Danio rerio: one gene and its partners. The protein of the gene in region 2 interacts with the protein of the main gene of each other region in a biochemical or structural test. Links are inferred from orthologs where the notes say so. Each region holds a gene or a part of one and is shown on either strand. Other genes may lie near its edges. The genes, in order: pdgfrb, Na(+)/H(+) exchange regulatory cofactor NHE-RF2 and abcc4.

What was found.
Region 1: the proteins of Na(+)/H(+) exchange regulatory cofactor NHE-RF2 (region 2) and pdgfrb form a complex in vitro, tested with the Homo sapiens proteins (2 studies listed by BioGRID and IntAct, with this or other methods). The link is inferred for Danio rerio from reciprocal best matches to the Homo sapiens genes NHERF2 and PDGFRB.
Region 3: the proteins of Na(+)/H(+) exchange regulatory cofactor NHE-RF2 (region 2) and abcc4 form a complex in vitro, tested with the Homo sapiens proteins (2 studies listed by BioGRID and IntAct, with this or other methods). The link is inferred for Danio rerio from reciprocal best matches to the Homo sapiens genes NHERF2 and ABCC4.

The regions. Positions count from the first base shown.
Region 1 is NC_133189.1:3,712,380-3,716,115, reverse strand, and holds part of pdgfrb (platelet-derived growth factor receptor beta), read left to right. Parts: intron 1-1,091; coding exon 1,092-1,263; intron 1,264-1,404; coding exon 1,405-1,520; intron 1,521-2,610; coding exon 2,611-2,734; intron 2,735-3,736. UniProt on the Homo sapiens protein: Tyrosine-protein kinase that acts as a cell-surface receptor for homodimeric PDGFB and PDGFD and for heterodimers formed by PDGFA and PDGFB, and plays an essential role in the regulation of embryonic development, cell proliferation, survival, differentiation, chemotaxis and migration.
Region 2 is NC_133178.1:11,799,055-11,803,215, forward strand, and holds the start of Na(+)/H(+) exchange regulatory cofactor NHE-RF2, read left to right. Parts: upstream 1-1,361; 5' UTR 1,362-1,682; coding exon 1,683-1,889; intron 1,890-4,161.
Region 3 is NC_133181.1:8,255,096-8,259,618, forward strand, and holds the start of abcc4 (ATP-binding cassette sub-family C member 4), read left to right. Parts: upstream 1-1,678; 5' UTR 1,679-1,921; coding exon 1,922-2,007; intron 2,008-4,523. UniProt on the Homo sapiens protein: ATP-dependent transporter of the ATP-binding cassette (ABC) family that actively extrudes physiological compounds and xenobiotics from cells.

The DNA of each region.
Region 1 (3,736 bases), on a different chromosome or scaffold from region 2:
CTGGTTACATTTATACTGAATAAAGCCCATAATCAGTACCTGAGGTGATCATTGTCATAGTATTTTATGCTCTTGTTTTGCTGCGGAAATCGAAACTGTACTGATAGTCACAGTTCTAACATTCATGTTCAAACTGTACGTGTATTTCATTTTCTGAGGTAAATTATCTGCTGTTAATTTCAGTATGGTTATAAATGTCAGAAAAAATATAGTAATTAAACTCATACTGGTTACATTTATACTGAATAATGCCCATAATCGGTACCTGAGGCGATCATTGTCATATTAATTTATGCTGTTGTTTTGCTGTGGTCATAAAAACTGTTCTGAGAGTCACAGGTCTAGCGTTCATGTTCAAACTGTACGTGTATTTCATTTTCTGAGGTAAATTATCTGCTGTTAATTTCAGTATGGTTATAAATGTCAGGAAAAATAGTATTCAAACTCATACTGGTGACATTTATACTGAATAATGCCCATAATCAGTACCTGAGGCGATCATTGTCATAGTATTTTATGCTCTTGTTTTGCTGCGGAAATGGAAACTGTAGTGATATTCACAGCTCTAACGTTCATGTTCAAACTGTACTTGTATTTCATTTTCTGAGGTAAATTATCTGCTGCTGCTTTCAGTATGGTTATAAATGTCAGGCCAAAAATGTATTAAAACTCGGTTACTGGTTACATTTATACTGAATAAAGCTCATAATAAGTACCTGAGGCGATCATTGTCATAGTACAGGGTGGGCCATTTATATGGATGCACCTTAATAAAATGGGAATGGTTGATGGTATTAATGCCCTATAAATAAATAAAAGCGCTACGCTATACAAATAATCTTGAATTATGGAGTTGGGAAATGTCCACAAGCCAGTATTCGAAATCAAGATGCGCAAAACACAATGACAATACATGTCGACACACTTACCACTAGGCAATTGGCAGTAATCAGAAAATGTAGTTTAATTTACTTTTGTCGTGTCTTGCTGTTTTGTTTGTTATTAATCTATACATTTCATATAGATTTTGTTAATGAAGCAAATACTGATTATTCCACACGTGATCTTTTTTTTTTTTTGTCTGTCTGCAGAGAAGGGTTTTGTGTCTCTGACTCCTCCTCTGGACAGAAACATCTCTGCGCAGCTCGGAGAAAACGTGGAGCTGAAGGTGGAGATCGAGGCGTATCCCAAACCTACAGTCCAGTGGAGGAAAGACGGTGCTGTTATCAGAGGACACAGCATGAGGGAGGAGCACGAAACGAGGTATTCATGACCCTCAAATACTCACACTCTTCTTCAGAGGCTGAAAGCAAATGCAGATTTACTCTCTGCTTGAAGATCAGCAGAGATTTAACAGAGATATATATATAAACAGACACTGATGCAGCACTGGATGCGTTGCAGGTTTGTCAGCACATTGACCCTGGTCAGAACTCGACTGCAGCAGATGGGTCTCTACAAAGTCACCGTCCAAAATGAAGACGCCCTCAAAGAGATGATCTTTGACCTAGAGGTGAAAGGTGAGACGGTTCAACATCCATTTACACACCACCCCATTTCCTGAAAATAGACACCCATGTTGGTTTAAGATGGGAAGCAGCAAGAATAATACCAGCTGCCAGGAATACTGCGGAACCAGTTAACTTTTATTATTAGCCACTGAAACTACTGTGAAAGTTATTTTATTTAATTTTTTGTCAAATAAGTTAAATAAAAATTATAGAAATAAATAATAAATTAATATAATAATAACAATAATAATATTAATAATAAAAATAAGTATAAATAAACCGCCTACATCACAAGCCACCCTTTAAAAGACTTTAATTTAATTTAATTCAATTTATTTATTTTATTTTTTTTTGGCAAATAAGTAAAAAAATGATATGAATAAATAATAAAATAATAATATAATAAAAATAATAATAATAAATAATAATAAAAATAAAAATAAAATATGGATAAACCTATCTACATCACAAGCCATCACTCAAAAGACTTTAATTTAATTTTATTATATTTTATATTTTTTATTATTATATTTTTTATCTTTTCGTCAAATAAGTTAAATAAAAATTATATGAATAAATAATAAAAATAATAATATAAAAATAAAAAATAAAATAAAAATAAATATGAATAAATATGAATAAATCTCCCTACATCACAAGCCACCCCTCAAAAGAAAGCTTTTAATTTAATTTTATTTTATTTTATTTTATTGTTTTATTTTATTATAAAAAATATATATTTTTTATTTTTATTTACTGAACAAAAAAGAAAACTAAGTTGGATTTTTATTTAATTAATTTCTGCAATAATATGACATTTTTTAAATTACCTTATTATTTAACATTTAATTTGGTTATAATAAATTATGCATGTTATAAATATGTATATATTTAAAAACATTTTAGAATAAATTGATCAACATATATTTGTTTGGTATCAATAGTATTTTTAATTAACTATTAAATTATGACTGTGATATTTCTTATTTGTATTTAAAAATGACATATTTATTTATATTTTTAAAGAATTAATTGTTGTTCACCCGTCTGGTTTATTGAGTGAGGTTTTCATGTGAAGATCTTTTGTCTGCTTCTGCAGTTCCTCCTCAGATAACGGAGCTGTCAGATCATCACCTGCCGGAGAAGAAGCACGCAGTGACCTGTGTGGCAGAAGGAGTGCCCAAACCCAGCATTCAGTGGTTCAGCTGCGACAGCATGACCAGGTGATGACACTTCATCATCATCATCATCATCTTCATAAACATCATCATCATTATCATCAAATTAGTATCAGTGAATTTTTTAGGGTTTAAATTGGTTTCTTTGCTGATGGATGGATGGAAGGATGAATGAATAGATGGAGGGCTGAATAAATTGATGATATATAGACTGATGTATTAATGAATGATATATAGATGGATGGATGTATTAATTATGATATATAGATGGATGGATAAATGGATTGATGGAGAAATAGATGAATGAATGAATAGATACATAGATGAATGGATCAATTTATTAATAGATCATTTGTAGATGGATGGTTGGATTGATGGGTGTATGGATATATGGATGAATGGATTTATTAATGGATAATATTGTATATAGATGGATAATATTTAGTCAAATGGACAAGTTAGTATAGTGATGGATGGATGGATGGATGGATGGGTCGATGGATGGATGGATGAATAGATTAATGAATGATATGTAGATGGATTGATGGATGGATGTATACATGGATAGATGGATGGATGGATGGATTGTTACATGCATGGATGGATGTATTAATGGATGATATATAGATGGGTGGATTGATGAATGGATGAATGGATGGATATAGTATTGAATGGATGGATGGATGGATGGATGGATGGATGGATGGATGGATGGATAGATGCATGGATGGATGGATTAATAAATTATGTGTAGATGGATTCATGGATGGATGTATAAATGAATGATATATAGATTGATGGATGGATGGATTGATGGATGTATTAAAGAATGATATATGAATGGATGGATGGATGGATGGATGGATGATGGATGGATGGATGGAGGATAGACAGACAGACAGACAGACAGGTAGATAGATGGATGGATGGATGGATGGATGGATGGATGGATTGTTACATGCATGGATGGATGTATTAATGGATGATATATAGATGGGTGGATTGATGAATGGATGGATGGATGGATGGATGGATGGATGGATAGAT
Region 2 (4,161 bases):
TTCTCCATTAAATTTTGACCTTAAAACTGTTTAAAAAATTCAAATTAAAAACTGCTTTTTTTCTCTAGCTTAAATCAAACAATTAAGACTTTCTCCAGAAGAAAAAATATTAGCAGACATGCTGTGGAAATTTCCTTGCTCTGTTAAACATCATCTGGCAAATATTTAAAAATCAAAGGGGGTTTATAATTCTGACTTCAACTGAATATATACACCCAACTAAATGTTATCTTTTCCATTCTGGTATTACTATTGCTACTATTACTACTACTATACTTTTATAATTATGGCTGTGTAAATAACCTACAGTTTTCAAAAATATTAAAATAGAAAAATACAAAACTATTAAAAGAATACAGCTGTTCTGTGTCAGTTAAATCAGTTGACTGTTGAAATTAAAAATTTTAACCCAACTGGTTGAGTTATTAATGTAGATAACCAAATAAAAATATATATCCAAATAAAATAAATAACCAAATAAAGGTTAAACATGACCAAACAAAGGACCAAATATTTAACACAACTGGTTAAGTTATTATATATATATATATATATATATATATATATATATATATATATATATATATATATATATATATATATATATATATATACGTGTGTGTGTGTGTGTAATATCTACATTTACATAAATATTTACAGTTGAAGTCAGAATTATTAGCCCCCCTTTGAATTTTTCTTTTTTTTTTGTTGTCTTTTTAAAATATTTCCCAAATGATGTTTAAGAGAGCGAGGAAATTTTCACAGTATGTCAGATAATATTTTTTCTTCTGGAGAAAGTCTTGTTTGTTTTATGTCGGCCAGAATAAAAGCAGTTTTTAATTTTTTTAAAACCATTTGAAGGTCAAAATTATTAGCCCCTTTAAGCTATATTTTTTCTCGATAGTCTACAGAACAAACCACTGTTATACAATGACTTGCCTAATTACCCCAACTTAATTAGTTAAGCCTTTAAATGTCACTAAGCTGTATAGAAGTGTCTTGAAAAATATCCAGTCAAATATTTTTTACTGTCATCATGGCAAAGATTGGGGGATAGGGCTAATAATTCTGTTTATATGCATGGGTACTGCATGTATGTGCATATATATTTTTTCCCATTTAGTTTTTACCAGTTGTTCATAAAAATTATGTAAAAAAATAAACATACATGATTCCTTAATCAATAACTGCTATTTGACATTGTTTACATACATTAATGAGGGTCAAATAAGCCTCTTTCTCTGCTCATCTGTATTGTCGCTTATTTATGGGCGGTCTTTTTTCACGCCACGCAGTTTCTCAGTGGACAGCATTTCTCTCTCTCTCTCTCTCTCTCTCTCTCTCTCTCTCTCTCTGTGGGCAGAATGTCTCATGGAGGAGTTTTGGATGCGTCTGTGAACATCCACAGGTAGTTGCACAGTCTGCTTTTAGCGCTATCACTTTTGCATGTAATTCCTCGCGAGCGCTTTTGGACACGAGAGTCTTCTGCCTTCATATCTGTTTTAATTGTTGCATGCGCGTTATTGTAAACACATCGGCATACGGCAGCGATGCGCGTTTATAAACCTTTGCGAATGCATTTTACGTAAGTTTCCGCTTTATTTATTTATTTTTCTTTGCTTGGGAAATCGCGCATGGATTGTGTTGCAAGTTTGTGAATGTGAAGGCAACGGCGGAATACAATGGCAAGCGATTTGAAGCCTCGCTTGTGCGTAATGAAGAAAGGAGAGAACGGCTATGGGTTTCATCTGCACGGAGAGAAAGGAAAAACCGGACAGTACATACGGAAAGTGGAACGCGCGTCCCCGGCGGAGGCGTCGGGACTGCGCGCGGGTGACCGTGTGGTGGAGGTGAACGGCGAGAACGTGGAGAGAGAGACACACCATCAGGTACATCAACACACACACACACACACACACCTGAGCTGCTGGTCTCAAATATTCAGCACACATTATACTGGATCCTAATGCAGGATCGTATTATTATGCATTTTATTGCTTATAACAACAACATGTGTGTTAAAACAAGTGCTTGAAGATAATTAGATTAGGATGTATCTCCATATGGAAGCAGAAAGAGCTTTATTGCCACTGCCAGGTAAGATTTTACATACAAGGAGTTTGCTTTTGTGACAGAAGAGTGTATCAAAATGGCAGTGACAGGACAAAAACACTGATAATAAAGGAATTAAATAAGTAAATAGAGAAAACAAATGCATATTACATTAGGCAATAATGTGTGTAAAGCTATATTATGTGCAAATTGACATGTAAACTGAGTATGTTGTTAAATAAATGTGTACATATGTCGGTAAATAGTTTTGTTCCATTCTACAGGGTGTCCGTGGGGGTCTTAAAATGTCTCAAAATCCAAACTTTTAGGCCCTAAATTCACTGAAACATTGTATTGTAAGTCCTAAATCATGTTAAACAGGTCTTAATTTTCCTGTATTCATGTAAACCTGCCCAATCAGACCAACATCCTTCAATCCTTCCATCTCAATAAAAGTTTTAACAAAAGTTTATTTAAAAGGCACCTATTTTACCCCTTTTTCAAGATTTAAGAGAAGTCTTTTGTGTCTCCAGAGTCTGTCTGTAACGTTTCAGCTCAAAACACTTCTGATTATTTATGAGACCTTTCAGACTATTGGGACTGTCCGCTCTGAACACTATGTAGTAGGGTTGGGCCGATAGATGATGCCGTTGTCCATCGCTGATGGCCAATAGACAACACGATTGCCCTCGTCGCAAATCCGCTCGCGATAAACACACACTTAGGCCCTGTTTACATTAATACGTCTTAGTGTTAAAATGGCATTTTAGAACGAAAATGATCCACATCCACACCGTGTTTTACCCAGCATTTCTGAACAGCCCTCCGTCCGCTGAAAACACACACAGACAGCCACACACACACACACACTATCATGCGCTCGTTTGAGCTTCAGTGAGCAGAGCATGTCAGACAGTTTATGAAGGATGTACCGCTGGATTGCGTCTCACTGTAGTTGTTAAACGTGATATTTAGACATCCCAAGTCTCCCGGAAGTTCCGGGAGTCTCCCACAACTGCTTTGAGACTCTCGGATCCCTCCTCGCTCTTCACACACATCGCGCACACTCTGTCAAACTCCGTCTCTGTCCCCAAACCCCAACCCCCCGCTTTTCACAAACATATATAACCGGACAACCCTACCCCCCCGATGATGCCATTACGATGGCAAATTGTCAGTGTCCTCATCTCTGGCTTTGTCAGATAAACAGCACAGTTACAGATATGAAGGAAGCAGACCTCACGTAAGGTTTGTGAGAAACACTACAGTAAGAACTTTCCCAATGATTATTGGATGTATTTGTTGTGGAGTTAATTCAAGCCTTTCTGCAACAACGAGTCACACACAGTGTCCTTACAAAGTTCACACACAGACACACACACACACAGCTCACGCGTTTAACTTTGCTCTGTTTTTGCACGCAAATGTGACAGGGTACATGCTAATATCCACTGCTGTATAGCTGATATCCGTTATGTTAATGTACAAAATAAAGCTTATTTAACGTCCACAAACCGGGATTGAAGCGCCTTCTTTTACAATTGTACTGATATGCGGCTGCGGTGATGAATTAATGCGATTTTACCATCTTTAACCTACTTTATTACAAACATGCACTGTTTTAAAAACGTTTTAAACTTGTAAAACTTATTCTTTATCATATTTGATGATGACTGATGATCACAGAGAGCTGAACAGATCTTTTAATCCCAGTTGCTTTGCGCACGTCCTGTCTTGTTGATATGATTAAACGCATTACTATGGATGTTAATTCACGGCTGTCAGTCAATTCTGTGGACGGGGAAACCTCACTCCTATGTCACGTTGTGGTCGGCCTCAAAATGGAGGGGATTTGGATCCTATTTTAACGTCAGGAAATTAAAAAAATAGAGGCTTATTGTCTTTATATCACCCCAATATGACTGTGAACACACTATACCTACACACAGTTCTGTCCAAAAGATGATTTTCATCATAGGTGCCCTTTAATAACTCTTGTTTATTAATTATGTTTACTGAATCTATATTTATAAACACATGGTTTAATTATCTTTCTTACAATAACATTTGTTTTTATGTTTTTTTTTTATGTTTTAACTGGGTTATAGA
Region 3 (4,523 bases), on a different chromosome or scaffold from region 2:
AGCGGTTAAAAGTTTTTAAATCTGCTTTTATTCTAGCTGAAATTAAACAAATTTATTTCAACCAAAACTGTTTGTGTGTTGTGTCTGTGCGTGCGCAAACCTGCCAAAACGACGTTGTCCATAGTCACTACATCGAAAAGTTACGAATTGCTGTGAGATTGCGTTGCACTCTCAGCTCACAACATTCAAAAGAAAAGGTCCACATTGTCCCCCGATAATGTCAACAGACTGGACTGTTTTAGCAACTAGCTGAATGTAAATTGTTTCTACATTATAATTAATGTTCTCAACTCACAGCAATACAACTTTACAGTAAGTGCAACTGTTTGTATTCAATACTTTATTATTATCATTTTCCATATCTGCAATGCCTGTATTTTGGCATTTTTTTTTTTGCAGTCCACTTAGAATCCAACTTGGAAATATTTTTTTTTTTATTGGCAATGATTGTTTTAAAATGTCATTAACATGCCTGTGTTTTAATTTCTGTAATAAATATAGCTGTCAAGCCAGGATCTTGATGGTTTATTGTGGGTATGTTGTTTACATGAAGAAATCTGTGTTAAAAGTCAAACAAAAATTCTAATAAACAATTATATCTTGAATTTAAATAGTTTTTATTTTGCGTTTACAATAATTTTACATTTGAATAGCCAAAATTACAAGTTTCAGTCTTTAAATATATATATAATTAATACTTATATATACTTTTAAATATATATATAATTAATACTTATATATTCATATTTTAATTTTGTGTCTTTCGTAATGCATGTGTGTGAGTGTTGTACATAATAAATACAGCACACACTGTATATTTAAAGCTAACATAATATAAAACTGTTTTTGAATGTGATTAATAATTCACAATTTCATCTAGATGCATGGACAAAAAAAACAAGCAGTCTAACATTAAAAATACATCCACTTGTGTTTCATAGTCATCTGGGTTTTAACGATGGTAAATGGTTTTCATTTTAAAGCATTCCATATATTAAAAAAGAAATATGTGCTTTGTGTTGCTCTTTGCTTTCCTCTGTTTGGACACTTTAATTAAAGATGATTGCTTCCAGCACACTACATGAGTGGTGTGTGTGTGTCTGTGTGTGTGTGTGTGTGTGTGTGTGTGTGTGTGTGTGTGTGTGCGTGCGTGTGTGTGTGTGTGTGTGTGTGTGTGTGTGTGTGTGTGCAGAGCTAATAAAGAACAGATGGTAGACAAAAAGCCTCCTCACCCAGAAGTACAATTACACAATCAAAGCTTCATATGTACGTCTCCCCTGCTCTCTTGTGTCAAAAAACAACAACAATGTGTGTATAAAACAACAATAAACAATCATTTTTACCAGCAACTCCACCTGTTTTCCGTAAATATGCTGTAGTTCCATCCTAATTGCTGCATCCAGTAAGTAAAACCTACTATAGCGAAGCTGCTTCTCATGAATATTAATCAAATGACGTGACGTACACCATACCGATTGGCTGATATCAAGAAGATTATAAATAATCAGGCGGGTGACGTCGAGCTACTCAATATTACTTAAGTCTCTTGACCAGTCATTGCTCTTGACGCCACAGTCAAGGAGGGTTTCTAAGCAACGTAGCTATGCTCTAATTAATATTAATAACATATTCATAATCTTATCACATCTGTTAACATGACCTTAGGTGTATATATAAATGTGTGTACGTCTTGCTTATTAGCGCCCAATCAGGTTTGACAGGAGTGACAATGAGCCAATCGCTGCTCGGATGGGGCGGGGTTTGGTCTCACGCTCACAGTAGGAAATGAACGGTTTTACCTCAGCCTGTAGTTACCGACATGTGCGTGTTAGAAAGTTATACAACAGTTTACAAGGTAAATGTCTTGCGCTGGTTACAGGTTATGCGAGGGGTACCAGAGTCCGGCTGAACCGCGGGGAGGATGACAAGCGATATGGAGCCGATAAAGAAAGATGCCAAAAGCAACCCCTCAGCCTCGGCTAATCTCTTCTCGCAGATATTTTTCTGGTAAGTCAAGTTTTATAATGCCCCTAAGGCAGGGGGGAAGAGTATTTTGTGTTTCCACTGAAGTAAAAACAAAGAAAGAAAGAATGTTTGCTCTTGTTTATAATAATGTACATCTTCTGAAACTAAAGACAACCATAATTAGATGATGTGAAGTGTTTTTTCTGTCAGTCGTGTCTAATCTATGGCTTTGTTAAACTGGGAAAGTTGGTCCTAAACTTTCCCAAGAGCTTCTACAACATTTATATATATATATATATATATATATATATATATATATATATATATATATATATATATATATATATATATATATATAACAGTGAAAATGCTACTTTTTCTTGCTTATGTATGTTCATTTGAAGGCAAAGAACATTTCTTTTGTACTTTTTAAGTTTTTAAACATTTCCTAGTGCTGGGTTGTGACATATGCTGGATAAGTTGGCGGTTCATTCCTCTGTGACCATCCCTGATTAATAAAGGGACTAAGCTGAACAGAAAATGAATGAATGAAAGTTTTGGGTTTTATTATGATTTTTTTCCACATCAAACGTACCGTTTTCTATGTGAACATAATTTAAAATATATCATAATTTAATTATAATCATGTAAATAAAAAGCAGATTGTCACAACATTCTGTAGAAATTGTAATATTAAAATAATATACAACTGCACTAAAAACCTCTTTATTACAAGATATTAGCTTTGAAAATGCAGTGACTGCCTGCAAGTGACAGGACAAAACACGACTCTAAACCAGGGCTCAGCAATCCTGTTCCTGAAGAGCTACCTTTCTGGAGATTTCAGTTGCAACCCTGAACAAACACACCTGTCTGTAATTATTAAGTGCTGCTTCAGGTCCTATTAATTGGTTGAGGTGCTTTTGGCTGAATTTTGCAGGAAGGTAGCTCTCCAGAGTTGGTGACCCCTGCTCTAAACCATAAGTCTCAAACTCAATTCCTGGAGGGCCGCAGCTCTGCACAGCTTTGCTCCAACCACCTCCAACTCACACCTGCGTAATCTCTAGTGCTGCGTCCGAAACCGCATACTTCCATATGTACATGTATAGTACGCTAAAATCAGTATGTGAGCCGAGTAGTATGTCCGAATTCATAGAATTCGAAAATCAGTATGCGAGAAGTACCCGGATGACTTACTACTTCCCGCGAGATTCTGAAGTGCGCATCCCATGCACGCTGCGCTATCCCATGATGCCCCGCGAGCGAATTCATGAATGGGAGTGAAGCGACGCAAATGACGCAGGTAGGTCGCGTGACCATGACAAAATGGCGGATGTAGTATGTCCGAATTCCATTCATACTTTTCACATTCATACTGTATAGAACGTACTTTTCTAACGGCCGAGTAGTACGTTTCCATTCAAATGCAGTACCTACTGAGTAGTAGGCGGTTTCGGACGCAGCCTAGTAGTCTTGAACACCTTGATTAGTTGGATCAGCTGTGTTTGATTACGGTTGGAGCAAAACTATGCAGAGCTGCAGCCCTCGAGGAATTGAGTTTGAGATCTATGCTTAACACTTTGAATTAATGACTGAAAGATGTCCAAATTAGGGGCTGCATGATATTGGTAAAAATCTAACATTGCAATTTTTTTTATTCTGCGATATGAATACAATTTCACTTAGATGAGATAAATTTATCATTTTAGATTGAAAAAAACACTTGCGAAATTATAATCCAGACTCAACGTTGCATATACTAGCGATGTGACTATTGCGAATGATCACATTGATATTGATGCTGAAATGATATATTGTGCAGCCCTAGTTCAAATAATATATTTTTCTGGATTTTAAAATAAAACTATCCACAGCATACCTTAATTATAAAAGCTTTTGCACTTGTGCATTACTTTAAATTCGTAGATATGAAAAAAAAAAGAGTATCTTCATGGACAGTTTGTTCCACATGGACATTGAAATCCATTCATTTGGCTGCAATATCAGTGGTTTTTAGGTTTTGTTTGACTTTTAGGAACACTCAGTTGTTGACTCTTGATTATTATTTATTATTTCGCAAGTGTTCTTTGATGCTTGTGACTGTGAGGCTTTTAAAAGCATTCAGGCCTAAAAAAAGTATCATTTGTAACTTTTAAGAAATTAATAACGATTAATTTGAAATTGTTTATAAAAGAAAGACTATTGTGTTTTCCGCAGGGTCTTAAAATGACCTCCATTTCAGAACCTAAAATTAAGGCCTTAAAAAGTCCTAAATTTACTGACATATTGTGTTGTAAGTCTTAAACTGTTTTTAACAGGTCTTATTTTTTCCCTAAGTAAAGCTACGCAATTTGGGCCAATATCCATCTAATAACCAACAACACATCTCAAAACCTTTATTTATTTTTAAGTTTTTAATTGCAAAGTGAGTTCATAACAGCTGTTAGACATGTTTACAGCAAATTCCCCAAATTAAATTCTCTAATCAGAGGAAAAAACTAAAAACAATTACAGGAATCCTCATGATAATACTGGGCCATTAGAATTTTTTTAACCCT